Linked DNA regions of Lepisosteus oculatus. The protein of the gene in region 3 purifies or fractionates together with the protein of the main gene of each other region. This does not show direct contact. Links are inferred from orthologs where the notes say so. Each region holds a gene or a part of one and is shown on either strand. Other genes may lie near its edges.

Evidence for each region.
Region 1: the proteins of wdr76 (region 3) and xpc purify together in Homo sapiens (affinity purification with mass spectrometry; 3 studies listed by BioGRID and IntAct, with this or other methods). This does not show direct contact. The link is inferred for Lepisosteus oculatus from reciprocal best matches to the Homo sapiens genes WDR76 and XPC.
Region 2: the proteins of wdr76 (region 3) and numa1 purify together in Homo sapiens (affinity purification with mass spectrometry; 3 studies listed by BioGRID and IntAct, with this or other methods). This does not show direct contact. The link is inferred for Lepisosteus oculatus from reciprocal best matches to the Homo sapiens genes WDR76 and NUMA1.
Region 4: the proteins of wdr76 (region 3) and camk2d2 purify together in Homo sapiens (affinity purification with mass spectrometry; 3 studies listed by BioGRID and IntAct, counting the BioPlex papers as one, with this or other methods). This does not show direct contact. The link is inferred for Lepisosteus oculatus from reciprocal best matches to the Homo sapiens genes WDR76 and CAMK2D.

What each region holds. Positions count from the first base shown.
Region 1 is NC_090699.1:55,825,655-55,832,945, forward strand, and holds the start of xpc (DNA repair protein complementing XP-C cells), read right to left. Parts: upstream 3,014-7,291; 5' UTR 2,844-3,013; coding exon 2,675-2,843; intron 2,159-2,674; coding exon 1,969-2,158; intron 1,651-1,968; coding exon 1,520-1,650; intron 674-1,519; coding exon 562-673; intron 52-561; coding exon 1-51. UniProt on the Homo sapiens protein: Involved in global genome nucleotide excision repair (GG-NER) by acting as damage sensing and DNA-binding factor component of the XPC complex. Has only a low DNA repair activity by itself which is stimulated by RAD23B and RAD23A.
Region 2 is NC_090700.1:12,738,957-12,746,935, reverse strand, and holds the start of numa1 (nuclear mitotic apparatus protein 1), read right to left. Parts: upstream 3,001-7,979; 5' UTR 2,881-3,000; intron 1,030-2,880; 5' UTR 1,003-1,029; coding exon 961-1,002; intron 665-960; coding exon 579-664; intron 1-578. Other genes in the region: lrrc51 (leucine-rich repeat-containing protein 51), read left to right, coding at 4,883-4,934, 5,344-5,549, 5,977-6,125, 6,666-6,804. UniProt on the Homo sapiens protein: Microtubule (MT)-binding protein that plays a role in the formation and maintenance of the spindle poles and the alignement and the segregation of chromosomes during mitotic cell division.
Region 3 is NC_090700.1:56,865,686-56,873,018, reverse strand, and holds the start of wdr76 (WD repeat-containing protein 76), read right to left. Parts: upstream 3,003-7,333; 5' UTR 2,856-3,002; coding exon 2,772-2,855; intron 2,604-2,771; exon of another isoform or gene 2,473-2,603; intron 2,465-2,472; exon of another isoform or gene 1,996-2,464; intron 1,585-1,995; coding exon 1,438-1,584; intron 95-1,437; coding exon 2-94; intron 1-1. UniProt on the Homo sapiens protein: Specifically binds 5-hydroxymethylcytosine (5hmC), suggesting that it acts as a specific reader of 5hmC.
Region 4 is NC_090696.1:69,085,326-69,092,496, forward strand, and holds the start of camk2d2 (calcium/calmodulin-dependent protein kinase type II delta 2 chain), read right to left. Parts: upstream 3,010-7,171; 5' UTR 2,219-3,009; coding exon 2,157-2,218; intron 698-2,156; coding exon 603-697; intron 1-602. UniProt on the Homo sapiens protein: Calcium/calmodulin-dependent protein kinase involved in the regulation of Ca(2+) homeostatis and excitation-contraction coupling (ECC) in heart by targeting ion channels, transporters and accessory proteins involved in Ca(2+) influx into the myocyte, Ca(2+) release from the sarcoplasmic reticulum (SR), SR Ca(2+) uptake and Na(+) and K(+) channel transport.

The DNA.
Region 1 (7,291 bases), on a different chromosome or scaffold from region 3:
CGGTTCATCATCCGGCGAAGGTACGTCTCAAACTCTGCCTTTCTTCTCTCCCTGCCAATGCAGCACCACATCTGTCACTAACACATCAACTTACAGGGACACAGCAATGCACATACACAGAAATAGAATAACTTTACAACAAGCGATTAATTACATTTGTAATTGTACAATCAAATGATTGTGAAAGCATCATTCAGAAAGATGGTCCAGGTGTGCCAGTAACCAACTGCCCCTCCTCCATGCCAACTTATTTCCAAAGAGGCCAAATCAAATATTTTTCACCAAAAATACATACAGTAAGTGCTGCCTGCAATTTGTATTGAAAGTGTTAAGTTGTCTGTACATTATGTACTTTCATTCCAACATCCACTATAAAATATTTACTTTTTTTAGCTTAAAAAAAAATCCTTTTTCAAATGTGAACCTATACCCTTCAGAAGCAAGAGATACTGTAAAATCATGCTTTGTGGCACACTTTTATTACTGTTGTGTAATTGAGGGTAGTGCTGTATAAATGTTTGTCCATGCAGCTCTAGAGTTGTAACAGGCTCTGCTTCTTGCCTTCTCTGTCTCTTCTTGGCTTGCTCAGGGGTTTCAATCTCTATCTCCACAGGCTGAGAGGGCAGAGCTGGCTCTGAGGGGCCCAGGGAAGAACACATAGGCTCATTGAGTTCTGTGAAGAAAGTTCAGAGAAACAAGGACTTCAGCCTGGAAATTGCTACAGACTTACACAAGGAGACATCGCTTATGGTTAAGGGTCTCCTTACAGGTAATGTAGAGATTGTCCGGAGCACTAGTACTATATTTTACTCAAAATGAGCTGATCCAACGAATTTGGTTAGAATTGTTTCCACTTAAAATATAACAGAGATAAAAGTAGTGTATCCCATTTAGGCCAGAAACCCATTTGATTCAATTATTTCAAATATACCACAGGGTCCAACAGGGTCTTCCACTTGGTCAAACAGACCCACAAGAATTCAGGAGAAGGGCAATTTCACCAGGAAATGAAATGTATCCATACTGTATATGCTCTGCAAACTAAAGTCTAACATTAGATTTTCAAGCATGACATTGTCATTCTGAGGTTTGCAGAACTTATAGGCAGCTCTTATAAGACCTAGATACACATAAGCAATGACTTTAACACTTCAAACCAAATAATATATACTGTACTGCCTCACAGTCTCCATTGAAGACTACAGTATATCATATAGGTAGCTGTGTCACCATGTGTAGGCTGCAACGGAACAAGTAAACGTTCATTCCATGCTGAAAAAAGAAGAAAAGAAACACAACGTTGTTTCTTTTGTGGAGCCTTCTTCAGGTGTCATATCCCGATGAAGGCTGAAACGTTCCGTTTCTTTTCTTCTCTTTTCAGCATGAAATAAACCTTTACTTGTCCATTTGTAGTATATGATACCTGCTCCTTTGCAACCCTCAGAGCTGCCCAGTACACGTTAATCCACTTAAAAATAAAAAAAGTGAAAAAATAAAAAATACATGCTGTTTGGCTTACCTTCAACATCTTCCCAGTCCTCATCACTCTCCTCGTCTTCGTCCGTCTCCTCTTTCTTCACCACCACCGCGGCTCCCTCACGACCCCAGCCAGCCTGACTGCTGCCTTCCTCCTGTCTGGGCTGCACGTGCCTGCTCGCCGGGACAAGTCGAATCATATCAGTCATATCCCAGACCACTCCTTCACGCGGCCAAGCACTGTGGGTGTGTCTTAAAGAGATTTTAAAGACTGGCAGACAGCACTTCTACTCCTCATTCTGTACACCCAGCTTGAATAGTACGGCTTGCTTGCAGTACACCGAAAAGCTAGGCACTCCTCCTCCAAGATGACAAACCTCAGGAGTGTTAACAAGCCACCATTCCATTCTCATAGCTGTATGCCAAGAGTCATTAAAATGTCAACTGGGAACGACTCCCTGTTGAGAGATACTGAGCAACTCGGACTTTTACCGATTTTTTTCATCATCATCATCTTCTTCTTTTATATGTGCAGGCTCTTCTTTGACTCCCTTGGTCGCTCTGTGGCGTTTACTCGTCGCTTTTGAAGTTTTAGCAGCAGCCCCAGGCACTTTTTTACAGTTGGTCGCGCTTTTCTTTGCGGCTACTGCCTTCGGAGCATCACCTTTAGGGCGCCCATCCTCTGAATCAAAAGAAGAGTTGTGTGACGAAATAAGACCCAGGTCTTTGGTACTACACGTAACTGTTCGCGTACCCACGTTTTCATAATCTGAAGTCATGAATGAGAAGAGTGCTTATATTTGCATTTAGGTCGGGAGGGGGTTGCTTCTGCAACGCAAAACATTTTAAAACATCAAAACCCCACCACCTGCAGGATGTGCTGCAAACATCTCAACGGTATATTTTCGGACTCCACGGAAACCACATATTGTATTTTATATTACTACAATTCCTGGCCATGTTATTTACGTTAATGTTAATTATCAGTTTCATGACGAACAAAAACAATAGCCGCTGTTTAAACTCACTGATTAGAAACAAAAAAAAAACTGATTTTAATTCAAGATACCGAGATACACACGATTGTTTTAACAAAATCAACTGTTCATGCATTTTTTATATATGTAAAACGTTACCGGTATGCACAATAGATTACAGAATAGCACAGCACAGAAGAATCACTACCATGCTAACTTACCTGTAATCTTTTTTGCTGATTTTTTAACAGTCTCTTGCTCTTTCCCCTTTGTGACCTGCTTACATTTCTTGCTATCTTTTTTTGCGGCGGCATCAACTGACCCTTTTCGCTTGTTGGCCATGCTCGTAACAGGCTGCAGGAACTTTAGTTGCAACACAAATAAAAACATGCACGACCGACGTTACTCGAATGAACTTCGGTTTCCACCGTGCGCACACTCCATAGAGTTTAACTTATGTAACCTCTTTCATTTTGCAGGAAGTTCCCCCAGACTCTTGTTGTACAATGCCTGAAGCTTTCATAACATTCTCCGTATCATTTGTTGTTATTCTCCCTGCAGACCAGTTTCAGAAGTGACGTCGAACGTCAACTTCCGGCCAATAACATGTCCGCCATCGGGGTGCTGATGTAGCTGAATGTTGTTAGCTACACGTGGTTGTACCTGACTTGAATATACATGTTTACATGGAATGATATTTCTTCGATGTTTTTGCTTACTTCGACAATGATATTCAGTTTATGCAATGCAAAAACTTGAATTAGCGAAAGATACATTATCAATTCTTTCCGAAAGACCCCTTCGTTTAATATACAGTATATATGCAGAGTTGCTCAAATGAGTCCTTTTGCATGTGCATAGATTTACTTTTCGTCATCAGCCCAGGCTGTAAAACGAAGCTGCACGTGTGTAGATATGCATATCATGCACTACAAAATATTTTGGAGAAAGTTAAAATATATTTTTACTTCTCAGTCAAGAACTTCGTATTTATTTTCATGAGAAATAACATGATTGATGAGTACAATTTTTTTTATTTTGGATAATTCCTTGTAAACATTTACTCACGTTAACAAGGTACATTTAATATTCAACCTACTTCTGATTTCAAAGTGACCTTTTCAAGTGTTTTGGGACAGTTTCACTTCAAGTGAAATTCTCAGTGTAAATGTCAGTACGCATGCATGAAGCAGCTACCCATTGAGCTCACTAAAGTTAATAATTTCAGAAGCCTTTGCTGTAGTTGTTGGAATACCAACCGTCTCTCGACGACTGGAGTTGTCTAACACTGTATTTTGGTTTTCTATTTTATTTTAAGGAACACTAGGTGGAGCCACAGGCAAATATTTTGCTTGGTAATATTTCCTTCTCCTAATACGGGTCTGCTAACTGGGTGAAGGTGGTACTGTACTGTATATGTTCACAAGAATTTATAGAATGAACTGATGTAAACCCAGAAGCTGACCTACGAAATTAAAAAAACAACAACTTTACTCTGGTAATAAGGTCAGTAAATTTGATCTTTTTGGTAAAATATATATTTGCTTACTCTTTTTCTTTTCATTTACAGCACTAAAGTAATGGTACAGTATTTGCAATTAAAGTACTTAATGTGTTTTTCGATTATTTACAATTATGTTATGCGACTCTGTATATAACCCAATCTAAAAAAAATCTATACTGTGCCAAAATGCTAAAACTGTCTAAAGCATTACATTTTCTTCAAAAGAGAAATTAATTCGTATGTATTGAATTGTTTTATGTTCTGTCTAATTCTGTGTTATTGTTTGGCTTTTTAATCAGGCTGTAGAGTATCTCGCAATTCAGCCACGACAGCTTCTTTAGGTGGTTGTGAAGCCAGCTGGGAAGGTGTTCCTTGCAGCATTCTCTGAAGCTCACCGATGAAGCGCTATGCTCTGTAGCAGGGGTGAAAGAATACCAGGCTTTTCGGTGCAGGTTTCTGGCTCCCATTTTTCAATGCATGAATTAAGGATTATCAATCAAGCATGCAAAGGATTGGTTGTACCAGATCCTAAATTTGAAGGTCTGGTGTTTGCCAGTCCCTACTCTACTCCTGTGTAATACAGATAGACAATCAAGTAAGCATTGTGAAATTGTAATAGAAGCTCTTTGTTCTGTAATAGCTAGGCGGGAAAAACATCATAAGATATGGAACAGGTATAATTTTTAAACGAGACAACTATCTACAGATGATCTGTAATCATTTTGATTCATGCAGTTTTTCAAGTGTTGTTGCATTTGCTCTTTTATTTGCACATTGTTCAGCTTTTTCCTTCATTGACCTCAGTTTCAGTGTGTGGCACCCTTTCCTGTATGAGTCCAATATCCCTCAAAAGCCCACATCACACAGAGCCATTTACTGTATGTTTTGGCACGGTCATCTTGCACGCTGGTTCTGAGCCGGCACTTGCTTTGAATATTCAAATCTTTCACAGCAGATGTCCTAGTTTGAATAGGATACATCTCTGAGAGAGAAAAAATAAATGAAGCATAGTTGATTAATGAAAACATAAGTTCTGGCAATACACATATTAACAGTTCTGCAGCAGGTCGGTACCACCTCTTCACAACATAATGTAGGTATTTCATTATAGAATATTGGTACAAGCACGTCTAAGCTCATGTTTATGTCTCATGTCATACTGTCCTTTATCTGATTTTCTGGTGCAGTTTTTCTTGTTTTCTTTGAAGATCAGCCAGTTTCTCTGTTTTCAGTCGCTGCCTTTGCTGAATTAAAATCACCATGAGACCACGAAATGACATAATTCTTCCCATGTGACCGCCTTTTTCTTCTCCTTGCAAATCCAGTTCCAGACTGTGACGAGATACCTGTTCCATTGCTGTGCAGCGCATTTTTCCCACAGTGAAATGTTGGATCTGCACTATTTGTTCTAACTGGAGATGGGGGAGGGGATTAATTCCACCCCAGCACAGAACATGCTTGAAGTTTACATTTTAAAGTAAATAAGAAAACATACGTGGAAGGTTTAGTTTTGTGGCTACACCAACAAAAGAACACAAAGATACAAGATTATATAAGCTGGTGGACTTTATTTCACACATTATCTCACAGTTTAGAATTACATAAAATGTACAACAGGACAAAACATGGACTTGATCAATCTCCCTGATAGTGTCTTTCCTTTAACCATACACAAAAACATGAAAAAGGAACAGAACATGTAAAAGAATTAGACAAAAATCTCACTAAGTGCTCCCAGTTTACACCTCATCCTAAATTAACCCATTTATGTGTCTCCAGCACTGTCATTTTATACATATATACTGTAACAATATGGTGTTTACAAAATTGAGGGTACTAAGAGATGTATACAAACATTGAAGTAGACAGAAGTTAATTGAAGAGATACATCTCCTGTGTCCTTCAAAAACAGATGTAAAACTTTATTGCCTTAGTTACAGGACCTGCTGTTCTGATTGCTGTGTTTTGAACTTTTTAGAATAGCAAGATGTCGGGATTCTAACCAGCAGTCTTCCACTTGTGTAACAACCCTGCTCTGAGAGGTTGGATTTTGAATGTCTAGAAACCTTCACATTATGTTAAACTGATTAGATTAATCATTCTGATCTTTGCAGCAGGGTTAGATTACATATGGTAAATGAAAAGACATTTAATGGAAGATTAATTGAATGTCTTAGTTTTACTTCATTTCAAAACTTGCACAAAATGACCACTTTAATAAGTGAAAATCATGAACTAGGAAGGACTCTCATTTGCACCGGAAAGTGTTTCCTTTAAAGAAAGACTATATTCATCTCAAGCAATGTGTAACATCCAGATATGTAACACTTTACTTTGTAACTACAACAAGATCTGTGGCCTCTTCCGAGGGTGACTTTTTCATTTGAAGCCAATGACAAAACCCAGTTTGGTACAGCAAAGACAGCATCTGTCCTGTCCCATCAACATGTGGATACTGGTATGCTCTGAGGCAAACAGGATAAGAAAAAGGGAACTAATTCTGAACACTTTTCAGCACCTACTGCTTTTGTACTTATGGCACAATACGTTGTTTCTTTCTGTAAAGAAACACTCAGAAAAGTGATTGATAGTTAATAGTTGGTACTTGCATTTATACACTACTTTTTTAAAGGATTGTCACAAACCACACGTAAGCACTTCTCACCGTTAACATCCATGCACTAATTAATCAATTATCTTTCTACACACTCTTCCCTCCATCTTCCGTATTTACAGTATACCCTCTCACTCCACTCAGTCTCTGCTCACTAATGAGGTTGCCTCTTCCGAGCTCAACCCTCGCTTTACGTAGTTCGGGAAAGAAATACTTTAAACCAAATTGTCTTTTGGCTCTCGAAACCCTAGCTCAATCCTTTGATTACGCCATTGCTTCATGTTTTTAGGATTTGGTTACTTTTGGAACTTTCCGGAACCTTTCCTGGATTAATCTACCACAGGCTGGCATAGGGAGTGGCTAACCAGCCTCTTTGCTGCAACTCCTGATAGGGATCCCCAAAGTATATTTTCTAAAATCAAGAGAAGTGACCCCCTCTGTCCCCCACTGAGGTGCAGTACCCACAAGGGTGAAGTGTGGCAGCCATTGTGAGCCAGCAGCCCCATTATACAGCAGATAAGACAGCGCAGTGAAAAATTGCTTTATTAATTGAATCTGGGGGAGAGAGGAGACATTTACTTGGTCAGATTGTTCAAGCCCAGACTGGAAAGTAACAAAGACACTTGTATTTTCACCAACAGCACCATGAGGCCTTTAATCAAAGGACCACATTTTAGCATCTTATTTGAAGGATGGCACTTATTACAGTTCCCTTCTTGG
Region 2 (7,979 bases), about 44 Mb from region 3:
CACATGGGGCCCTATAATTCTTCAAGTGGATGCAAGTAAAAACTCTTATATCAGTGAAGTGCACTACCGTTCTGCATGTGCCCCAGGTCAGCAGGTTTCACAAATACAGTCGACTTGCAACTAATGCACTCTCAACTTACAGTTTTACGCAGTTGGCTCAGGAAAATAAATGAAAAATACTTAATTCTCTGAAACATTCATCAAGCAGGCCTAGGAGAACTAATTAGTAAGCCTATACAGTCATCATATTAAATATAAGTTTAAAAACACTAAATATCTTGTGATACATTAAGAGGTTACTAGGGAGTTTACATAAAGGTCATAGGGTACAATTTGACTACACACAAATTTAAGCACTACTCAAAATATCTAACCCCCGCATATGCCAGTCGACTTTACTCAGCTATTATAACTTGATTAAACAATTTATTCAGTTAAGTTAAAAACTTTTTTAATTGGAACTAAAATTGGAATTCTTGACACCTCTGGGACTCTAGCCCTGCACCCACTTAGTGCTATGAAAACTGTGCCCATTCAGCTGTTACCATAAACTGAAGAGTTTAGGCTATGCCACTTACAGTTTGTATATCAGTTTAACTAAAAGACGGCCATCCTGCAGGTTGGAGATCTTGTCAACAGGTTCTTCTAAGTTGAGGCTGTTGATCTGATAAAACAGGAAAAAAAAGAGATTTGCGACTGTGTAAATTTAAAAAAAGAAACTACACTGTGAAAGGAATCGATGTGTGGCAAACTAAGCAGATGTTTCCTATGTAAAGAAAGCTTTGTGCTTGACACAAAATTTCACTTGAGTGCAGTTTGGCCACAACAACTTGAAGCACAGTCTAGCTGACACAAGCAGATGCCTTTAGTAACATGAAATTTAACACCAAAAGCCAAGACCTATATTGCCCATTACAAGAGGATAAAGAGAAAAAAAGCTTTAGCAGTAATAACACTTACCCAAATCAACAGAGCAGCTTCTTTTGTTTCATGAAGAGCCATTGCTAGCAATACAGGCTCTCTTGTCTCCTGCAGGAGGAGCATAACTGGTGAGCAAAACTGGCACTCAAGGTCACTTGCAAAAATACTAGCACTGCTTTGCTGGAAAGCAAACTTTGAGTAATTATTTAGATCTATAAACGAGCACAAACATTTCATGACTGGAACACAAACCATCATCTTAATATAATTATGCATTCAAACATTTCTGTTAGAAAATGAGAATCTCTACTGATTAAGTCCTTCACGTGAAGGACCCTAAAGCAACAATTTTCCAGTGGACAACAAGGAAAATCATTGTTCATCATGAGAAAAAGCAACAGTAATGTTATATACAGTATTAAAGCAAACTGAGCAGTGGGATCAGCTACAACGATCTAGGACTCAAATATCAGTGAGCGAGCAGGTTTAGAACCCAACAAGATACACTTATTTTAATAATATGTACATATGGTTTAAATTATGTTACCTTTCATTTCTGCCCTTAATTATACAACGTTCGATGGATACAATCAAAGTCAGTTATTAAGGATCGATACTCATAATGGTCTTCAGACTTCACTTTCTGCTGTCTCTCTCCAATATTCAATATTAACCAATACATTTTCTTTTAGAAAAAAACAACTTACAATTGAATGCTTGATGCACTAAAAGCAAACTGTTCAGATTCGTCATTTTTAAAAAGACCGTTCTTAAAGGTGTTGCTTGAAGTCATTCTTTTTTGGTTTAGAAGGAAAATAACACCGAAAATATTTTAATTGATACAGTTACAGTATCAGTTTCATCTGTTCAATGGGAAAAATGTGTCCACCGTTTAAAAGTACACAGAACCACCAAGTTACTTAAAGACCTTGGGCATTTTAAAACAAAGACCTTTAAGTGTAGGTCGGTGCAAATTGGTAACGAAGCTGACTGAAAACATATACAGTATATATAGGCCCACATCACACGGTTACATGCTGAGCAAAGATTGTTGTGCATTAGCTAGCGCGCTACCGCAATAGTAGTTCTTACATGCAACTAGGAAAAACAAACTTCGTCATCAAGGGATAATCTTGTTGAAATTTCAGAAGCCTGTTTGGGAAAAGGGCGTTCCTTGTGGAGGATTTACTCATTAACTCACTGACTGGTCATTTCAGATTTCAAACTAACAGAAAATCCGTCTAAAATAGGCGACACACCCTAAACCAAGAAATTAGAGTCCTAGTCTAATTATATACTAGACAAAGAAAACCAACGTATTCCCCTGGGTTGTTGGCCCCAGTTTAAGAGTTCCGACTCTATCAGAGATCCTTCACATTTACACCTAAACATTTCACTTTGGAAATCTTACCGACTTCACGAGTGGTTCTGATTGCTAACCTGGGAACTCCTTCGTAACCGCGATCATATCAACCGAGTCAAAGAAGGGGTTTTACGCGATTTCGAATTTAATCCTAGATAACACGAACAACCGCGCATACATCACAGACGCAGCAAATTAACATTTTGACCAAATTTCGGTCGTTGCTCTGTTGTGCTTATGCGACAGAGCTCAAACAAGACATTTAGAATGACTTCTGTTGTTCGTCTTTTCTAATCAGTTTTCTAATCATTGCTTATCGACAGTCAAACGGAGACTGACTTCAATATAGCTAGCCCCCACCGTAACGGTGCTAAGTATATAGTTAGGGTTGCAAAGACTCTAGTGTGCGTTAGCATGCACACAAAACTTTATATCACATCTGTAAACGCTAACCGTCAAGAAAACAAATATACAAACCCGCAGTCAGGAACATAACAAAGATGAAAAGTTTTCTTTCAAAGTAAACAACCAATTATTAAAAATAATTGGTTTTACAAAAAGTGTGATCAGGACGGTGGAGGGGAAAATAAACCTACCTTTAAAATACACAATAGACCATAACCCCTTCACTGTCACCTTCTGCCTGTCTAATCGTTTTCAAATTTCGGCGCTTGAGATCACCGGATGCGTTCATTGGCTACGCACGACGTCAGGAGATTCCGCACACGTAAAGTTCACGCCCACATCCCATCAGGTTAGGTTACATCACCCAAGGTGCAGTGCGGTGAACTGGATAAATCAATAGTTGCTGCATGTTTAACGCAGCGTGTATATTAATAATAATAAACTCTCACTTTCTGTCTTAATACAAACCAAAATGTATACAAAACAAAAGTAGAAAAAATCCCCTTATATAGGTGCGGTTGTGAAATTTGTCAAGACACTGTCCAATTCTAATGACAAAGAATCTGTTACTGTTTTAACAATTTCAGTACTTGTTCTGACTTATGAAAACAATATATTCTTTACGTTAACTCGACACAGTAGGATAAATGGAGTTTAAAGATTATTTCGATTTCTGATTCATGAAATAAAGCTATCGACTTTAAAATACAACATAAAGACTAAATAGATAACGTTTGAGTGTTTTGACTTGCAAAGAAATATATAAAAATATGGTGTGCTTGCCCTGGAGAAACCAACATTCACCCTAACCAAAAGAACACCCGTCTTGCTTTTAAACAGCCTGCTCATAATAAAAAGAATAATTATTGCTTGCATTAGTACAGTATTTTCCATACCAAACCCTTCACATATAAAAGGAGGCTCACTTAAAACACTACAGCAGTACCGTCACTGAGCACCAACAGCCCGGTTATTCATTACATAGAAAAGTGAGAAATTACTTCACCAGCTAAATTCAGGGGTTAGTTTGGTCATATAAAAATTGTGCAAACCCAATTTAACCAGGATTAACACTCATCTTCCTAAAAAAAACGCATATTTTTAAGTCTCTCCTGCCAGACAGTGCATCCTACAACGCTGTATCCCAGCTCCCCATAACTCGGAGGAAATAGCGCCATCTACAGGTCTCCCAGCTGCACTTTTCCTTGAAGACATCTTGTAGTGACGAGGTGCAGTTTCGTACAACAAGCAACAAGACGGCTCAGCCATCCCTGAACTCCAAAAGAGAGCTGCAATTTGTAATCTTTTTGTGGCCAAACATATTTCTCCAAATGAAATCCAGCAGAATATTAACAATATTAACAATAGCCTTTATTTTATATGCCCCTTTTTGTGACAGTATCTCAAAGTGTTTAAAAACTGTAAACACAATTATAAAAACCACCGAATTCGTGCAAAACAGGAGTCAAATTAAACATTAGAAAACGCTGAAGAGAATAGTGTACTTTTGAGTTGTGATTTAATGACAGCAATCCTGATTTCATGTGCAATGTTTGTATAGCGAGGAGTGGTGCATTTTCTTGCTCTTCAGTAAACTGACTGGTGGAAAATAGTAGTGTAGAAGCAATCCATGCACCATAGCGAACACGTGGCTTCCTGGCGAGGGTCGCCGCAGCCCGGAGCCTTTCCGTATATATGGCAAGAACAGTCCTACAAGCGTTACAGAGCTGTAGTACTACAATTCCCACAAAGCCACGTTCTCCGGTCGTCATGGAAATGAAGTGTTGTTGCTTCAGAGTCGCAGTATTATTTAGCACATTGCGGTAGGAACTGAAGAGGTGCCAGGTGAGTTATGTTTTTAATGACCGAAGTGGGGAAACGAGTATTGCTCTGGTATAATAGATTGTGTTAGATTTTTGTGTGGCTTGGGAGAAACCTATTCTTTTTTTCATGTTGTAAATGGGAGCGTTTTTAATTGTCGTTGTCGTCCCGAAATTTTCTAGGAGGTTTTCAAAAGTTTGTATTGACATGTAGTGATTAACTGCTATTAATATGCAATCTTTTTTTTTCAATTTTAGAAGTTAGAACAGCGATTGGAAATAATCTGTATCACTTTCAGCTACTTTGGTCTGGCAGATGTTACCTTTTGTTCTGTTGTCGGTTTTATTTACAGGTGCGCCTAAGGGCCGCAAAATGTATGGCCCTCCTGTGGATTTTTCGTTTAAATGCCTCAGTTCCTTGGCAGGTAAAAAAAAGAATAGCTGTTTGATAGCAATACAATTCATTCAGTATCCTGTTCCTGCATCATCATCCATGATTAAATCCCTGAAGGTATCTCCCTGCATAATGTATACTTAATCTTCAGTATGCAATTTGTTTCATGTAGCTGTGAAATTAGTTTTCCGTTCTGTTCCCAAAAAACATCGCTAGATTTTTTTGTGTGTGGAATGGGACACAGAATCCCCAAGGATTAAGATTAAAAAGGCATTAGTTTTTTCTTGCGATCTTGAATAAATTACAGTCATATTTGCTAACGGCATTCCAGTCCTTGTCTTAAAATTAAATAATTTCAACAGAAAGATGCACTGTTCTCTCACGGCCGTGCCGTCTTTACTACAAGGTATCGCCCGGCCTGTTCTTTTGCTTTCCTGCAGATGTCCTGTCAGAGCATCCCAATGTAGGTCTGAAGCCTGTCCATCGTACCCCAGAAGGGAAGTTCTGCAGCAAAGCTTTGAGGCTGAGCAACAATATTCTCTCAAACCTGAGTGATTTCGCCACTGCCTCTACTGCCTTGTTGGATGACCCAAAACAGCTGTCTTGGATTGATCTGTCCTTCAATGACCTGTCTACCATCGACCCAGTAAGAGCTACTGTGATGCTTCCTTCTGGCTGCACAGCAGGTGTGGAGAGTTCCACCTGCTAGCACTAACAGAAAAATCCTTTCACTACAATAAGCAGAACTAGCAGGTCACAGGAGCATAGTAAACACGACTGTGGACTTCTGTTACACTATTGATTAATGACATTCAGGTATGGCGCTGCATCAGCATGCATGGACAGCAAAGGAACAGTTAAAAGGTTCCTCCACAGCTGAGACGCTGTCTTTCTTTTCTTCTCTTTACCTGTTCTATTGATAAATGTATTGCAGTAGATATGTGAAGCAGTGTCCAGTAATACGATCTTTGAGGCGATCAGGATCATTTTGAAGACAGGCCGGCAATCCAAAGGCCTAGAGTATCACTGAGTCAAAGCCAATGAAGTCATGTTATGTCTTTGCCCCCCCCCAGATCCTAACTGAGTTCAGGGAGTTACGGGTGTTGTATCTCCACGGAAACAGCATTTCCAGACTATCAGAAGTGGACAAGTTGGCGGCTCTTCCTCACCTTCAAAGCCTGACTCTACACGGCAACACGCTGGAGAATGAGAAAGACTACAGGTCAGTGAAGCGGAGCTTACAGAAAGCTTCCTATCGTTTTCTGCAACCTTGTGTTTTTTACACTCAAAATGTCCTTTTTGGGGTTCGTGTTTCTAATGGAGCAAGCTGCATCAGGCCGCTCCAGGAAAATTAATTTAGACTGGTTTTCTGGTCATGATGCTTCTCGAGCTAGGGTGGGCTTGGTGCTAGAAAGAACAGGTGCCCAGAACATCAGGAGACGCTTTGCTTCTTGACATGTTTTTTATTGAGCTGGATCTCAAGTTACGATCTGCCCTGTATGCCAGTGAGGGAGATCTATATCTGATCAGTGCAATGGAAAAACATTTGAAACAAATCAAGAGCATAGCCATTTTCACATTTTTGCTGTATTTTACAAGTAAAACATCTAGGTCAAATATCATGCATCACATGCATTCCAAATGCATAAAATGCTGAGAATCGCATTCCCATCGGGAATCTCGTCTTTTACTATTTGTAGTCCACTCATGCCACGTGCCTTCTCTCACAGTTGCCGTTTCCCCGTGTCCTTAATGTTGTTAGGAACTACGTGATTTCAGCACTCCCTCATTTAAAGTCACTGGATTTCAGTGCAGTGACTAAGCAGGACAGGGTCACTGCCCAGATCTGGAGGAGGGGGTCCAGCCGACCAAAGCGCTCCAGGAAGACTCCAAATGAATAGATGGAAGTCACGCTCGTGCCTAGTAAGCCTGATGTCATACGGGACTGAAGTGTGCTGCAAAAACAGAATACAGCTCTCTCTCTCACATCACTGCGTAGTAGAGTTGCATCATAATGTAAAATGCTAGCCTCATGCTGTATTTAAATATTTTCCTCATTCTGAAGAATCATACCATGTTTCCATACTCGTTTTTTCCTTAACAAATTACACTCATTCCTCATTTACGTCACAGATAAATCTAACAAACGGAATGCAAAGAATCTTATTTAACATTCAGCAGTCAATTGTTGTAAGTTGGGTACGACGAAATTTGCATTTTGCTGTTATATAGCCAGGCAAGATGTATATGCTGCATCACATAGTTTTTGTAAAGTCAGAAATATTCTGCAATGTCCATTATTTCGTGCAGTGGGTGTAACTATACTTACCCTTTAGAAACTGTATAGGGTTGGGTATGGTGATGTGTTACAGTATATCACATGCCATATCACAGTGATAGTAATATACAGTATATGGCAACTGGTTTGGTGCAAATGAACAGAAATTATGGTTTTATTTTTAATATTTAAGGTCTGAATGTTTGCATAAAAAAACAACATTCAACATTATCAGGTATTTCAAATATTTTTAATGCATAATTTCAATAAACAACAAAAAATGGTATTAACAGAATCCATTATTAATGAATGCTGTTTTGGTACTAGCCTAAGAAACAAACAATGTAATTCAGGTAGTAATACATTTAAGTAAAAAAAATACTATTAGCACGCTGCAAAAAGCCAAAAATAAGATGTCTGTTCATGTTTTACAGCCCTAAGGTTCATCCCTTTAAAACCCAAAAAGTGCCTGTCTTTGCACTAGAGATCTGCTCGCACCAGAAAAGAAAATATAAAGTGACCATAAATACATTAAAAAGAAAAAAAATACTCTTGTATTTTTAAGTATCTTGACATTAAAACTGTTTGAAAGTACAGCAGCCATTGACTTTTCAACACTAGGTAAATGGATGAGGACCAGTCTCCACATTCCCTCAATTCCTGTTTCTTTTTTTAAAAAATTAATGAACCTCAGATTAATAAAATGTCTTCTGTTAATAAAAACTAGGGCTTGAATCTTTTGTTGGCTTTCATTTTCATAACTTCCACTTTCTCAAGAAAAGTCATTAGTGATTAACC
Region 3 (7,333 bases):
CCGGGCCTTCCCACTCGCTGTCACTGCTGCACTCGCTGTCCGACCTGGACCTGCTCCGTGACGCGGCAGGCTCATCCGACGACGAATGTCTCTCCTGACAGACGACAAAGTGCACAGTAAACATGTCGGCTATCATCTCTTCAAATGCTGTGATCAAGCATGAAATTATTTTTTTGTCTATTTATGATTATGTTTTATTGCAAAAGGACATTTTCTATAGAATATTTGCTCAGTTTTTCTTTAATATCCAACACCAAAACATAATCAGTTTTAAAAAGAAAGGCTTGGGCCGTGCACCTAAGCATGAATTCGCAGAAGCTGAGCACGCCAACAAGCACGGGAGAGACAGAATTAGAGGGTTCCCGAGATATCATAACAAATAACAAAAACATCCGTCAGAAGAATGGCCTTTTGTAAAAGGCACAGTTTTGCGACGCACAGAAGGCGTACGTAATCAGCTGCGTCTGCTTTTGATTTGTTTTGTGTGATGCTGGACTCCGTCACTGTACAATCTCCCTTTAATCACTGCAGATCGAGAAAAGTGGGCTCTGTTGAACACCCTCAATCAACTTCTACGAGTCCTGATTTTGGATTCTAACCAAACCCCACCGTGACTGACCTGACTAGGCCCCAGACTTTTTTTGAGGTTTCTATAACTGAGGACTGTGGGTGCCGATTCCCTGGGATCTTATACCTTTAAAGGATTTCATGCTAAAACTTGCTAGTACACTAGTGTAGCGGAGCTAGTGTGGTGACGTCAGCGCCCTCCCTGGGCGCAGCAGGGACCTCAGCTGCCTGGGCTGAGGGAGGTCTCCTTTAGCTCATGGGGCTGGTTCCCTGTTGCGTGACGCCGGAGACCCGGGTTCGCGCCCCAGGTGCTGCGGGACGAAACGGGGTGGCGGAGGGCACGAGCCCGCGCGGAACCGCGACGGTCACACTAGCACAGCCTCACGTAGAATATCCTGTCGGATTTTGGTCACCATGTAATAGAAAAGATGTTGCAGCTCTGGAATCAGTCTAGAGAAGAGCAGCCAGACACATCTGAGAGTTTCAGCGAACGTCCTACACTGACAGACTGAAGGAACTGGACCTTTTTATTTCTTTATCAGAGATGACCCCAGGGTGGGGGGCACTGTCTGTACTGAAAATCCTCAAAGATATTTGTCAAAGAGAACCAAGCAGGCATCTTCAGAACGAACAGTTAGAACACAAACCAGGGGGAATAAGGGCAAAACACTGTACATGGAAGAGCACTTAAAAGAACCGACTCCTTCACCCTCAGAGCTGTCAAGAGTCTGGAACGAGCCCGTCCGGCCTTGTTGGTTAAGCCCTGGCTTCTCCTCGCATCAGTTAACTACTAACTCCCGAGGGGGCTCGATCAAGAAACAGCTGAATTAGATCAGCTACAGACTGGCCATCAGGGGCGAACGGGTCTACCTTTCTCTTGACGCCCTGCCCCGGGGCCGGGTGCGCTTTCCCGGGCGACTTGCGCATCGGGCGCTTGCTGGGCAGGACCTCTCTCGGCACGGCGGCCCCGCTCCTCCCCGCAGCCGCGCCCGGGGGGCTCGGAAGCAGAGTCTGCTCCTGTAAGATGTTTGCAGGCCAAAAAAAACGTTACTCCACTTGGTTAACAGGCTGGGAGGGTGTGTTGCAGTTTTGCGCTTGTGGAGGTCTAAAAACAGCGTGCCGATTTCAGATTTGATCCGTCAGCCTGAAGTTTTCGGCTCCTGCTATACTCGGGAGCACATTCCTCAATAAAAACCACCATAAGGGATTTCAATCCCAGTTTCCCCACTAATAATAATAATAATAATAATAATAAAGTGGCAGGAATCCTCACAACCAAGCACGTTTTAAACGCAAAAGCGGAATGAATCCAGGTTGATTCTTTCCTGAACAGTCACGGTGCAGAGGCTTTTATTCACATCATCTCCCGAGGTAAACATTACTTAAATTAAAAATAAAATGGCATAATGCTGCTCAAATTTGATATACCGCACAGTAAGCTCCCGAAACGGCTTTTTTCCGAGGTACAGTAGAGGGTGTGGAAGTCAGGACAGGTCTATAAGAAAGACGACGCTATCGGAGAGCTCCGAGCACCGCGCCGGGAACCCAGATCCTGCATGACGTCACGCCGCCGGTCCCGAAGAACAGCGGAACTCCGCGCAATGCACTCGAGCGGACGGCTTATTTCTATATTACAAACATTAAACGTACCACTAAATAAAACCAGTTCAAATATGCAATGAGTTTGGCAGGGCTCACTGACGTGTACCACGATTGCCGAGATGCAAAAATAACAACCCCCCCCCCCCCATCTAATCATGGCACCAAGACTTCTTACAGCGAGTTGACAACTCTCTCAAAATACAGATACAACAGTTCTGTACACCGAAAGAAGACGGTCCTGGCAAGACAGTAACTACATTTCCTCCTCAGCAGCGTCTTTCCTTGCGTCGGGGTTTCACGTACAGACCAGCAGCCTTCTTGACTCAGACGCGTCTCAAGCAGACAGAACAAGACCCGCAGCCAAATCCTTGCAGTGTCGTATTAACCTACATCTGCTCTACTGCGGCCGTGGCGTGGTCTACATTGTGTGAAGTCTGCAACGTAATCATCGAGAAGATCAACCTGACGCAGAGAAACACTTGTTCCGCCACTCGTCGGAGCTCCCACGCACAAGAAACAACCACCAAGGTTCAGTATCGGCGACAATTTCTCAAGAACAAAGCTAAAAACCCGGTGTAAACTCCTGTAATGAGAGAACTCACCTTCATTCGTTGTAATTTCACATAAGGAATACAACCGGAGTTAAATTTGCTTTGCTCAGCTACAGACCTCACCGCTGTTGGCATTCTCCGATATTCCTGTCAAGGAGTAATGTGCTTTTATGCGATGTACAAGCAACCTTTCCCGTCCCTCCGCGCCTGCAGCTCCGTTGTGTAAGTTTCAACTCTTCCCGCGGAGTTATGAAACAGTTCCCTCGCGCGCTGGCCCGGCATCAACAGCCGCGTCACGCGTGACGTCACCGCCGGCGCAGCCCTGCCGCGAACAGGCTGGTAGGGGAACTGCAGTTCAACGAGGGAGCTGGCGTGCGGGCGGGTGTCATTGAATCCCTAAATAATAATAATAATAATAATAATAATAATAATAATAATAATAATAATAATAATAATAATAATAATAAATGCTTACACTTATATAGCGCTTTTCTGGACAATCCACTCAAAGCGCTTTACAGGTAATGGGGATCCCCTCCACCACCACCAATGTGCAGCCCCACCTGGATGATGCGACAGCAGCCATAGTGCGCCAGAATGCTCACCACACACCAGCTATCAGTGGGGAGGAGAGCAGAGAGTAATGTAGCCAAATCATAGAGGGGGATTATTAGGAGGCCATGATTGATAAGGGCCAATGGGAAATTTGGCCAGGACGCCGGGGTTACAACACCAGACCTCACCTCAGATCTAGTGTGAAATGTTAAAAAAATATAGGAAATCTGCAACGTGCTTTCCAAGGCTACGTGTTTGGAAACCTGCAGTATATTTTCAATCCGTTGAGATTGGCTGTTTAAATTGTATTTATATGATGCTAGTATAACAGTGTTTGTCAGCTGGCTGAAAATTTTCCTACAGATGATTTTTTATTGAAGAATATACATCAGAGATCAGAGATGATCCCGGGGGGGCACTGTCTGTACTGAAAATCCTCAAAAGTATTTGTCAAAGAGAACCAAGCAGGCATCTTCAGAACGAACAGTTAGAACACGAACCAGGGGGAATAAGGGCAAAACACTGTACATGGAAGAGCACTTAAAAGAACCGACTCCTTCACCCTCAGAGCTGTCAAGGGTCTGGAACGAGCCTGTCCGGCCTTGTTGGTTAAGCCCTGGCTTCTCCACAATCCAGCCATAGTGCGCCAGAACGCTCCCCACACATCAGCTATCAGTGGGGAGGAGAGCAGAGAGTAATATAGCCAAATCATAGAGGGGGATTATTAGGAGGCCATGATTGATAAGGGCCAATGGGAAATTTGGCCAGGACGCCGGGGTTACAACACCAGACCTCACCTCAGATCTAGTGTGAAATGTTAAAAAAATATAGGAAATCTGCAACGTGCTTTCCAAGGCTACGTGTTTGGAAACCTGCAGTATATTTTCAATCCGTTGAGATTGGCTGTTTAAATTGTATTTATATGATGCTAGTATAACAGTGTTTGTCAGCTGGCTGAAAATTTTCCTACAGATGATTTTTTATTGAAGAATATACAGTATATTGAAGAATTATTGATTTTCCAAGAGCTTTTTTTCCCTAGTTTTGATTATTTTAGACTCCTATTTTTTTCTTTGAGGAATATTTTGTGACTGGAGGGCTTCAGAGACAGATTGCAGAATTGCTCATTTGAAACCCCAGCTAGGGTCAGTGTTAGCATTCACACGCTACTTAGACAATTTTTACCTTTAGCTCTGGATTCTGGGGCCCAAGTCAGTGATCATTTGCTCTTACCTCCAACTTTTTGGAACATTTGAAAGTGTTAACCCATTAGAACTGGCTTTCTTACAACCTTTGATCTGACTCCAGTTTTGGAATACAATCCCTGAACCGTGCACTGCAACATCCAAGCGGCCAAAAGTCTTGAAAAAAAGAAAAAAAAAAGGTTGGAGATAGGAGCAAATTATCAGCCTTCCTAGCGCTGGCTTAGGTCGCACAATCCAGCCCTGATCGTAAAAATGTTCTATGTAGTGTGTGAATGCTAGCCTCATCCGTAGCTGGGTTTCAATTGAGCAGTTCCAGAACCTGAGTCGTTCGTCTACCTGTGTAGCACCATTCAGGAATCAGGGAGTTCCAGCATGGAAGTACTACGACAACTGGCAATTGCGCCCAGCTGCATGAAGCAGCTCGAAAGACATGACTGGAGATCCCGCATTATAATAATAATAATAAACTTTATTTTATATAGCGCCTTTAAAGGTGGCTTCTCAAAGCGCTTTACAGGATGACAATAACAATAAATAAGAAGACTACAACAATAAATAAGAAAATTTCACAAGACAGGACACAATTATAATTACAACAATACAACAATAACAATAGAGGAGACCGTGGAAGATGGTATTAAGAAGAGCAGAGGGGTGAAGAATGGAACCAGTTAAGTAAAGGCTTTACTGAAGAAGAAAGTTTTGAGTCTGGATTTGAAGGAGTTTAGAGAAGGTGACTCTCTAATATCCTTGGGTAAAGAGTTCCAGAGCTTGGGGGCATAGCAGGAGATGTGCATTAGGGTCGACCACAATTTTTATGTGCTCGGCTGGACGCATGCGACATGTGGTGCCTGGGGAAGATCCTGCAGATCCCCTATGCCAGACACGCAACGCATGCAGAAGTTCGACGCACCACCGGTTGCCAACCAATCTCCCAGTTGATCGATCTCCGATATTCCTCTGCTTCTTCGGCCACATGGCAGGAGCTGCCCCGTGTCAGGATCTTCATCATCGCGCGACAGCTGCGGGCGCTTCAGAAACCCCAGCCGGCTGGAAGAGACCAAGGGGCAGACCCGGCCGGACCTGGCTTCACACGGCTGAGGACAACCTGAAACCTCTGGATATAGGCCTGGACACGGCTTGGCAAAGGTGGCTGATGGGGGCGGCTCCTCCGCAATGAAGCTTGCCGATCATGATGATGATGATGATGATGATGAATCAAAATTTTTGCGAAAGTTCCTCAAACCAAAAGATATGATTCTAAAGCAATCAAAACTAATAATGTTTCTTTATTAGCCCTATACAATTTCTTGCATTAGGAATGTGTCTTTTTACATACCCCAGCTTTTTCTCCATGGAGACACAGACACAGAGACAGGGAGAGAAGCTGGGGGTCAGAGCGCAGGGTCAGCCATTGTACAGCGCCCCTGGAGCAGCTGGGGTAAAGGGCCTTGCTCAGGGGCCCAACGGAGTAGGATTCCTCTGCCGGCCGCGGGATACGAACCGGCAACCTTCCGGTCACAGGTGCAGATCCTGAGCCACAGGGCCACCGCTCCGCCAGTTATTGCAAATGCATGGTCTTCAATAGAACAGGTTATCATTATACTGCACCTTTTGATCTTACTCAGTTTTCAAATTCCTGAGTGCTGCAATACCAAACAAAGGCAGCCAAAAGTCTCAGAAAAAAAAAAGATTCAGATAGGAGCAAATAATCACTCGTACTCATGTTCCCTTGGCACCCAAAATCCAGCACAGAGCTTCAAAACTGTCTAAGTAGTGTGGAAATACTGACCCTGATCCCAGCTGGGGCCTCAGCAGAGCATTCCTGCAAACTGTCTCTGAAGACCTTCGAGCGAGTGAAATACCTAAAAAACATACTTAACTTACTTAAAAACGTCAGAGTTCTGGAGTGTGTATCAAAGGAGAACCTAATAATGCCCTGCTGCAGCTGATGTAGTCAGTGTAGTCAAACATCCTTCTCACACAGCTGCAGGAAAGAGAGGGAAATGGATGGAGCTCTTTTAAATAATCGACTTGAACACTGGGGAAGCCACTTCATATTTTCTGTATTGAATTGCAATATAAACATTGAAACTAAGTTCATGTTAAATTTGCTTCACTACTGTTTTATAAAAATAAATAATGGATTACTAATGTTCCTTTCCCAGACCTTGTGTTGTATCTTAAGCATTCATACAGTGACATAGCAGTCATTTACTGTACGTGCCTCATTAGTGATTTCAAACCTTGTATCTCCTTGTAGTAACATTGTGTATAACATGGTCACGATTTACATATTACCACTAGGTGGCATTATGCAGCTGTCTCTTGAGTCCTCACATCGCTGTGTACATTCTCACAAGAGAAAGAATCAGAAGGGAAAGCAAAAGAAAATACCTTGGGTTAAGTTCCCATGCTATGAAAAAAGTACTAGTTATTCATAGCTTTCGATTATGTAAAGTCTATTGACTACTTATTGAGATAACAGCTTTAGCTTTCTGATAAATTCTTCAGGATCATGACCAGTAGATAAATTCCTAAAACTGTTAAAGGACATTTGGTAACAAGCAAATAAGTTTCTATGCAATCCCTTCCACTTGTTTTGAGAACATAAACTATAGTGATCCAGGGTCATTAAGAACTTGTTTACTGTTGATTTAATACTGTAGACCACCTCTTATGAACAGTCATGAACACCATTTGACTTCTAGAACACAGGTTATCCAGCTTCCCCCAACATTAGACTATTGCATTTGTATTCACGTGGTAGTACTCAAAATGTACACATGCATCTTATAGATTGTGTCCACAGGTATTGCCTGTGAAATGAAAAGTGATTCTGGAATAAATTAC
Region 4 (7,171 bases), on a different chromosome or scaffold from region 3:
ATAAATTTAAGAACTCGGTGACCTGTACAGCAGAAATACTTAACTAGCCTAAGAGTTATATATATATATTACTTAACAACCATGTAACCTTGAAGAAGGCTCCAGGACAGAAATGTTGTGTTTTCCTCCTTCTCTTTTCAGCATGGAATAAACCTATTACATGTTCCTTGGCAGCCTATGCATGGTGACGCAGCTACCCACCTGAACTACTATGTAACTAACTATTCACTAAAAGCCCCTTTTCCACAATTGTCATAAAGCGGTACTTCAGAGGAGCCTACAAAGCATTGAAAACATCTTACTATTTGCACACAGCCAATCAGTATCGTGGTGCTTGTCTTTATGAGGATTGGCAAGTGGAAAGATTTCCTAACGAGACATACAAAACAATTAAGACTATTGATATTCAATGGCTGGGACTTTTTTGCCAACATTACTGGAAGGAAACATTCACTGTTAAGATTTTTTTCAGTAATTTCACAGAAGTGCTGGCTGGATTCATGCAGAAGAGCTTTTCATTTCAAAGTTTCTTCAATTCCACACTACACTTTCACATTTCCATAGGTACCCTACACAAACGTGAAAGGCTTCTAGGCACGTACCCCTGGCAGAGAGCTTTTTAGTGTTGATAATTTTGGCAGCATACTCCTGTCCAGTCGAGATCTTCACGCATCTCCTCACAACTGAGAAGGCACCCCTATAAAAATGAGAACAGACACAGAGCACTGCATCACTTGGCATAATATTTACAGTATACAGTATATGTAACATCCAATTTATACATATAAAGGAATTAAATACAGCAAAAAAGATCGACCTTCATATTTAAATATAAATACACATTTAAGATAATATGAACGATCATGAAAATATCTTTTGGACATGAAACATCCCTGCGGAATACTGTGCCCTATTAATAATTAGACCTCAGAGACTGGGCCTTTGGGAAAGAGCGGGTTTAAAAGAACTGCATCCCATTAGAGGTAATTTTTGTGCTTTGACATTTGTGTTTCTAAACCATCTGAAGTTAAACTGAACATATTAAAGACCTCAAAGTCTCTTGGCACTACCATGAATCATCATTTGGACTTAAGTCTAGGCGTAAGGCTGTAAATAGCTCTGCAAACAGAAGAAAGTGAAAATGACCTAATTGCACCCTCCCCCACACATTTTTTTACTGGCAGTACAGCAGATATATCTTTAAACTTATTTAATATGTAAATTGCTTCTTATACCAGCATAAGCATACCAGCTGTTTGCGTAAACCGTATTTAAACCATGGGATTTAAATACAAGCTTAACATTTTTCCACCCGCATTTATAAAAGCAACGTTCAAAATCCTAGGCGATGAACACAGTGGATTTCATTTACAAACGAGATATCAATGATGATATCAATTTGAAACTAAAATTCAAAATGAAGAACTACAGTATGTTTGGAAGGATGTCTAACCATTTTAACGGTCTCCATGTACTGTACAGTATGTGGACGGAAGACAACATCGATTAATTTAAATTCGTCCCATATTAAGACAGAAGCAAACAGCTACTATAATAGCAATTACAAAGACTTACAGTATAAATCTACAGGTCACCTTCTGTTACTTCCAAGTGTGGGGATATGGCAAAGCGTGTAATCCAATCATTAAGAACATGATCACACTATTATACAGCCGGATAGAGAGCCTGTTGCTTTTTATACACCTTAATTACTAGAAATCAAGACAGCGTGTGTTATGGGATATTCTGTTTTAAATATAAGGTGGGCACTGAAACAACGTTATTTTGTCTGCTTAGAGTGAACTCCTTATCGCATTGCACTAGCGAATGTCTAAAACACAAATGCAACACCGACCAACCCTTCGAAGCAGTCCACCAGATATGTACTGTAACAACAAAAATAAACACCCATGTATATGCACACTATTTAGAGCACATAGGTTATATACTGCATAAAGGAACGCAGATCGTTTAAATTTAGTTTCATTCAAGTCAAATTTTCACCAGGAGGTTACTGAATTCAAATAGACCCATAAGCACTGTTAAACGCGCAGTCTTACCCCTCTAGCTTACCGAATAACTTGTGCAATAGCTTACTGCTTGACATAAACATAGGTTTATTAACATCTATTTCCAATAATGAGAGACTTGCTTACTTCCCAAGCTCCTCGAAAAGCTGGTATTCGTCAGTAAACCTGGTACAGGTTGTTGTAGCCATGATGAAGGAAACGGGCTAAATGAAGAAGGAACAAAAATGCCTCTAAAATGTATCTTGTTAAGATCTCCCCGTTCCAGTCTTCCTTCAGTGGTTTCTTGTCCCAAAAAACAAAAAGTAAAAATCCAGTGGAGGAGATTCTAAAACGCCTGACTGCGTCTCAAATGTATATTTATATCACTGAATCTCGCTTGCGTTAGTAACGTTGAAAGCGGCAGATCTCTGCTGACACACAGCCTCTGTGTGCAATAACATTTCTCTGGAGTGCTTCCTGATTTTAGATACTGTACCAGATCTCCCCCTAGCTGTACTACCAATCTCCTATTTCTGCAAGAAGATGTCTACAGTAAATCGTAAATCCGAAGCGTCTATCTCTGTAGGCGAATAAGTGCCCTGCTTCTTATAGCGCCAAGACCTCTGAATCGGCTTTAGCCTTTAAAGGAAAATGTATTTTGAATTGTTCGATAACAACAACAACAACAACAACAACAACAACAAAAAGCAAACAATATGGGTCAGATGTTTGTGTACGGCGTGGTCATTTCGCTGTGTGGTGTACACCTGCGGTACACCAGCTTTAATCTTTAAAGGACTAATTGGTTTCGATCCACACAGAAACACCACGACTCATGTGCGCGCTGCAAAAACAATTTTCTGGCTTATATGTTGCTGGGTTATTTTAAAGAGTGTGCAGTTTTAAAATAATGCGATACATTGTGTTAACCACAATGTCTTGTTGCCCCCCCCCAATCACAGATCTGTATAACAGTGCCTCTACAATACTGCATGTTCGCAACCAGATTTCAGAAAGACGAATATAAATCCTCCCGTTTACCGCGAGAAACGGAAAAAGTAGTGCGAGAGTTACGTTAAACTGGGAGGAGAAACCACTTTTAACTCTCGTTGTTTGCTTAGCGTTATAGATCCGTCTGCGAGGGCCGAACGAGTTCGTCTTGCACAGATTAATATATTAATATTTGACAGTGGCACAGAAGGACGGTGAAATTTCAGCAGAGAATATTGTTGCTCGCTATTATTTTTTCTCATCCGACTGTAAAATTCTCTGCCCCTTATGTATTTTGAGTAAAAATGATAAGAGGAGAAAATAAATAGACGATAGGGATAAGAGCAGTATTGATTATATTGGAGCCTCCTCATCCTGAGTTGAGACCGCAGTAATGGCAAATGAATGCAACAGAATCAGTGATGTACCCGCGGAGGTTGGCTTTTCTTTGGAAATGTTTCAGTGATCATCCACAAAATCCCGTTTTCTTTTCCGAAATCTCTGAAAAATAAATACCTCAATGTTTCTACACTCAAAATTGTTATGAATAGAAACTTCCAGGTCTTCACTTTGTAATGCAGATCCAGCTATCTGTTATGCCTAACTCTACAGATGAAGAGACACTGATTCACCTCTCTTGAGACATAACAGAAGTTCATGCATTTGAAGAATAAGGGGTACCTGTAACTCACAAGGATCTGCATTGAACCATTTTCTGGTATTATCATCAAGCTGTTTACATAATAAACAAAACAACTAACAGGATATTATGAAAACAATTTTGATGAAAAAACTAAAGCAAGTTATCAACGGGGGGGGTGTTGTGTTGCCCAACAGTATGCTATTGCTTCACAACAATGTGCTTGTCATATTTTATTTTGGTCAAGCCACTGTTTTGTGAACACTAGTCTTACCCTACAGATCTGGTCTTGTGTAATTACTACCTGCCTTCAGATCTGAAATCTAACATTCGTGGGGTTCAATGGACTGCCGTTCACTGATGTCACGGGAGGACAGTGAGGGGAGACCATCTGTAAGCACCTTGTTTTGTAGTTAAGTGATATTGTAGATAAATGTATGTCTGTCAGCAGTTGCCCAACCTTTTGTGACTGTGTCTCAAAAACACAGGCACCATGCAGGCTAGGCAAAAAAGAAATCCCTGCTTAGCCAGAATTTAACACAGAAAACCAAGTCAATGCACCTTTATGAAAAAAAAAATCAAGATGAAGGTACTGTATGAGAATTTTGTTGGAGAGGTAAACAAGAGAATGTATGTGCCCTCAAAATAACCTGACAATATGCAGTATTCTGGTGGATATACAGTACAAAGCATTTACTGTAGCTGTTAGGTGGTATTTTACAGAACGCATAGTAGTGATCCATATTTAGGATATGAGTTTACTGCATTGTGTAACTTAGTAACAATTGTATTTATAGCTGAATGTGGGTTACATTATTGTTAAAGTTATGATATATACAGTATATTGTAGTGTGTATATACAGTGCTGTATTTGCAGTCAGCTGCTGTAGTGTACTTACCTTTATTTGGTTTTGAATTACTTCCCTTATTCATAGTTTGTAGGTTTGCAATATAAACCAACTGCCAATTTCCTGTTTCCTAAATATGGGGTGGGGGTGTGTCTGGCCAGCATTTATAAGCTCAGAGAGTCCTCTAGTGGCTTTTCTATGCTGAGGAGAGGGTTATGTTTTGTCCTCTATGGATTTTAAACAGTGGGTTTTATTTTAATGTTAAATCACCCCATTTTGTTTCACTTCAATAGGTAAACTTTGATTGTTGTTTTACATGATTTGCTCACATCTCAAAGGTTTTAAATTTATTCTGGGACATTTGTTTATACAGTACACAGCATGAGCAGGAGGAGAGGATTACGTACCATTGAGTGAATAGACAATGGCATCTTTACAAAGATTCTTCTACTCTGCAACTTGATGAAATCAAATCTTCATGCTTCCTTACCACAACTAAAAGTGAATATATTTATGACGTATTTAAATACTTTGCACAGGTTGCAAGTTGTTTTCTTCAAAAGTAAAGCATAAGTCCTTAAATTATCATACTCACCATTGACCAACTTTCCCCTTTAATATGACGATACTCTACACCATAAGATTCTCAAACATTTGTGTCCATATAAAACAACAATGCATTGTAAAACATTTACTGTATGCAACCAAAGACAGGAATTCAGATGGTTTATATGCTAACTATTGAAGTCTGTATTTAAAGTTTAATTTACAGATGCCCTCATAAACAGGCAAAATCTATTCCAGAATAGATTTATACAAGTGATTGTGCAGTACAGCTTTCATCCCTACAGTATAGTCGTTATTTCTCCAGCGGTCGGTAAAAGGTGACACTAACACATGAGGTTTTTGAAGGCTCATATTTCTCCTGCTTTTAAAAGGTGATTTTTTGTCTGGCTTGGTCTACAGATAGCTTGAGAACTTGTAATGTTATTGCCCAGTAAATGCTTTAAAACCTCAGAAAAACGTTTTGGTTCCCTGAAATTGGGAGAAGAGGGCAAAATCATCCTACACATGAATGGAACAGAACTGAGTAACCAAATTCCACAGATGACTCAGTTTGAGAGGAATGATGAGAAAGTAGAAAGCCATTGTTCCTCTTTTAACCACAGTGATCTGGGCACAGGGAGCTGCTGCTGTAATTTAATTTCTCAGAGCTCTGACATTTTTCAGTTTTATTTTTTTTTTCTTAGCCAAAGGTTGTGCAGTAGTCTCTTGTCAATTCCTGTTTCCTCCTAGCCAATCAACATCGAATGGCTGTGGCCTTACCTCAGCCCACACGGTGAGACTTACTCTTGTGAGCACCAGAGTTTTTCTTGATTTTCTGCCTCACTGCTTCCAAGTATTTAAAGCTAATGAGACAATACATTAGTAAGGAAGAAATCTCCAAATTGATACATGCTGAGTGATTTAAGAAGGGATGCTGCTCCAAAGCTATGCAATTGCATTTGTTAAATATCTGGCATAAAAAAGAATGCATTCATTATTTCATGTATCTTAATCTCTAGCTTTTACACATTATATAGAAAATGTACATAAGGTGTCAACATAAACATTAACCTTTTTCATAAGTAGCTGTTTCCAGCTTAGGAGTTCCCATTTTGTATTTATAGTTTATATTTTTGCTACCTGCATGCAAAGCCCAGCACATGTCTATCTTATCTTCTGAATCTAATGTGACATCCAATTCGTTATAAAAAATACAATTTTAACTCTTAAAAAGAACATATATGTAATATAAGTCCTGCCTGGTAGCTGGTACTGTACACTCACCAGTATCCAGAGGACATACTGCTTGTGTTTAATACATGATATTGTTAAATTACTGTAAATATTTATTCTTACAGACTGGACTTACTGCAGAATGTTTTGGTGATGGAAGTGTTATTTTCAAGGACGGTGAGATACTAATGCTCTGGAGATCCCGGTGGTCACCAACATCTGAGAGTTGACACCCCCTGTTTTTCTTCCAGCCCCAATCCTAGTCGTTTTCCCTGTGTTTGTCTCACTCCCCTCCAGATTCTGCCATCTGCATAGGGTCCTGAAAAACACTTCGTGACAGTCTTCTTCTATCTTCAGACTCCCAGCACTAACAAAGACTGTTCCAGATCCTTAAATCTTCAGCAATGTGAAGTGGCTTATTCATTTTTCCTGTGACATGTTAATACCTCCCTTAATAAGTGCTTAAGCAATGGTTTAAATGTGTCCACCTTGAGCAAGGTCTGTCAGTCTTCCAAGAGCTGGGTATCTACTGTATCTGAAAACTTTAGTCAGCACTCAATGCTACAGTACATGAGGTTTGTCTGAATCACAGATGAGGATATAAGATCATATTGTAGAGCATGATGATGAAATAAGTGGTTATTTCTATTAACTCACAATGTAGAAATGTGAACTATACTCTTTTCTTTGCTTCACTATTGATAAAACAAGTAAAACAAATCTCAAGAACTTTGGCTAAAATGTACATGTAAACAGAAAGTTTGGAAGATAATATTACAGTATATCTTCTTATATCTTTCACACATTTACAGTATATTTCCTGACTTTAATTACTGTACTAGGACACATCTGCCAAAGATCTCTGTCTGATCCTTGCTGTGTAGCGGGTAACTGTGGTTGGTTGA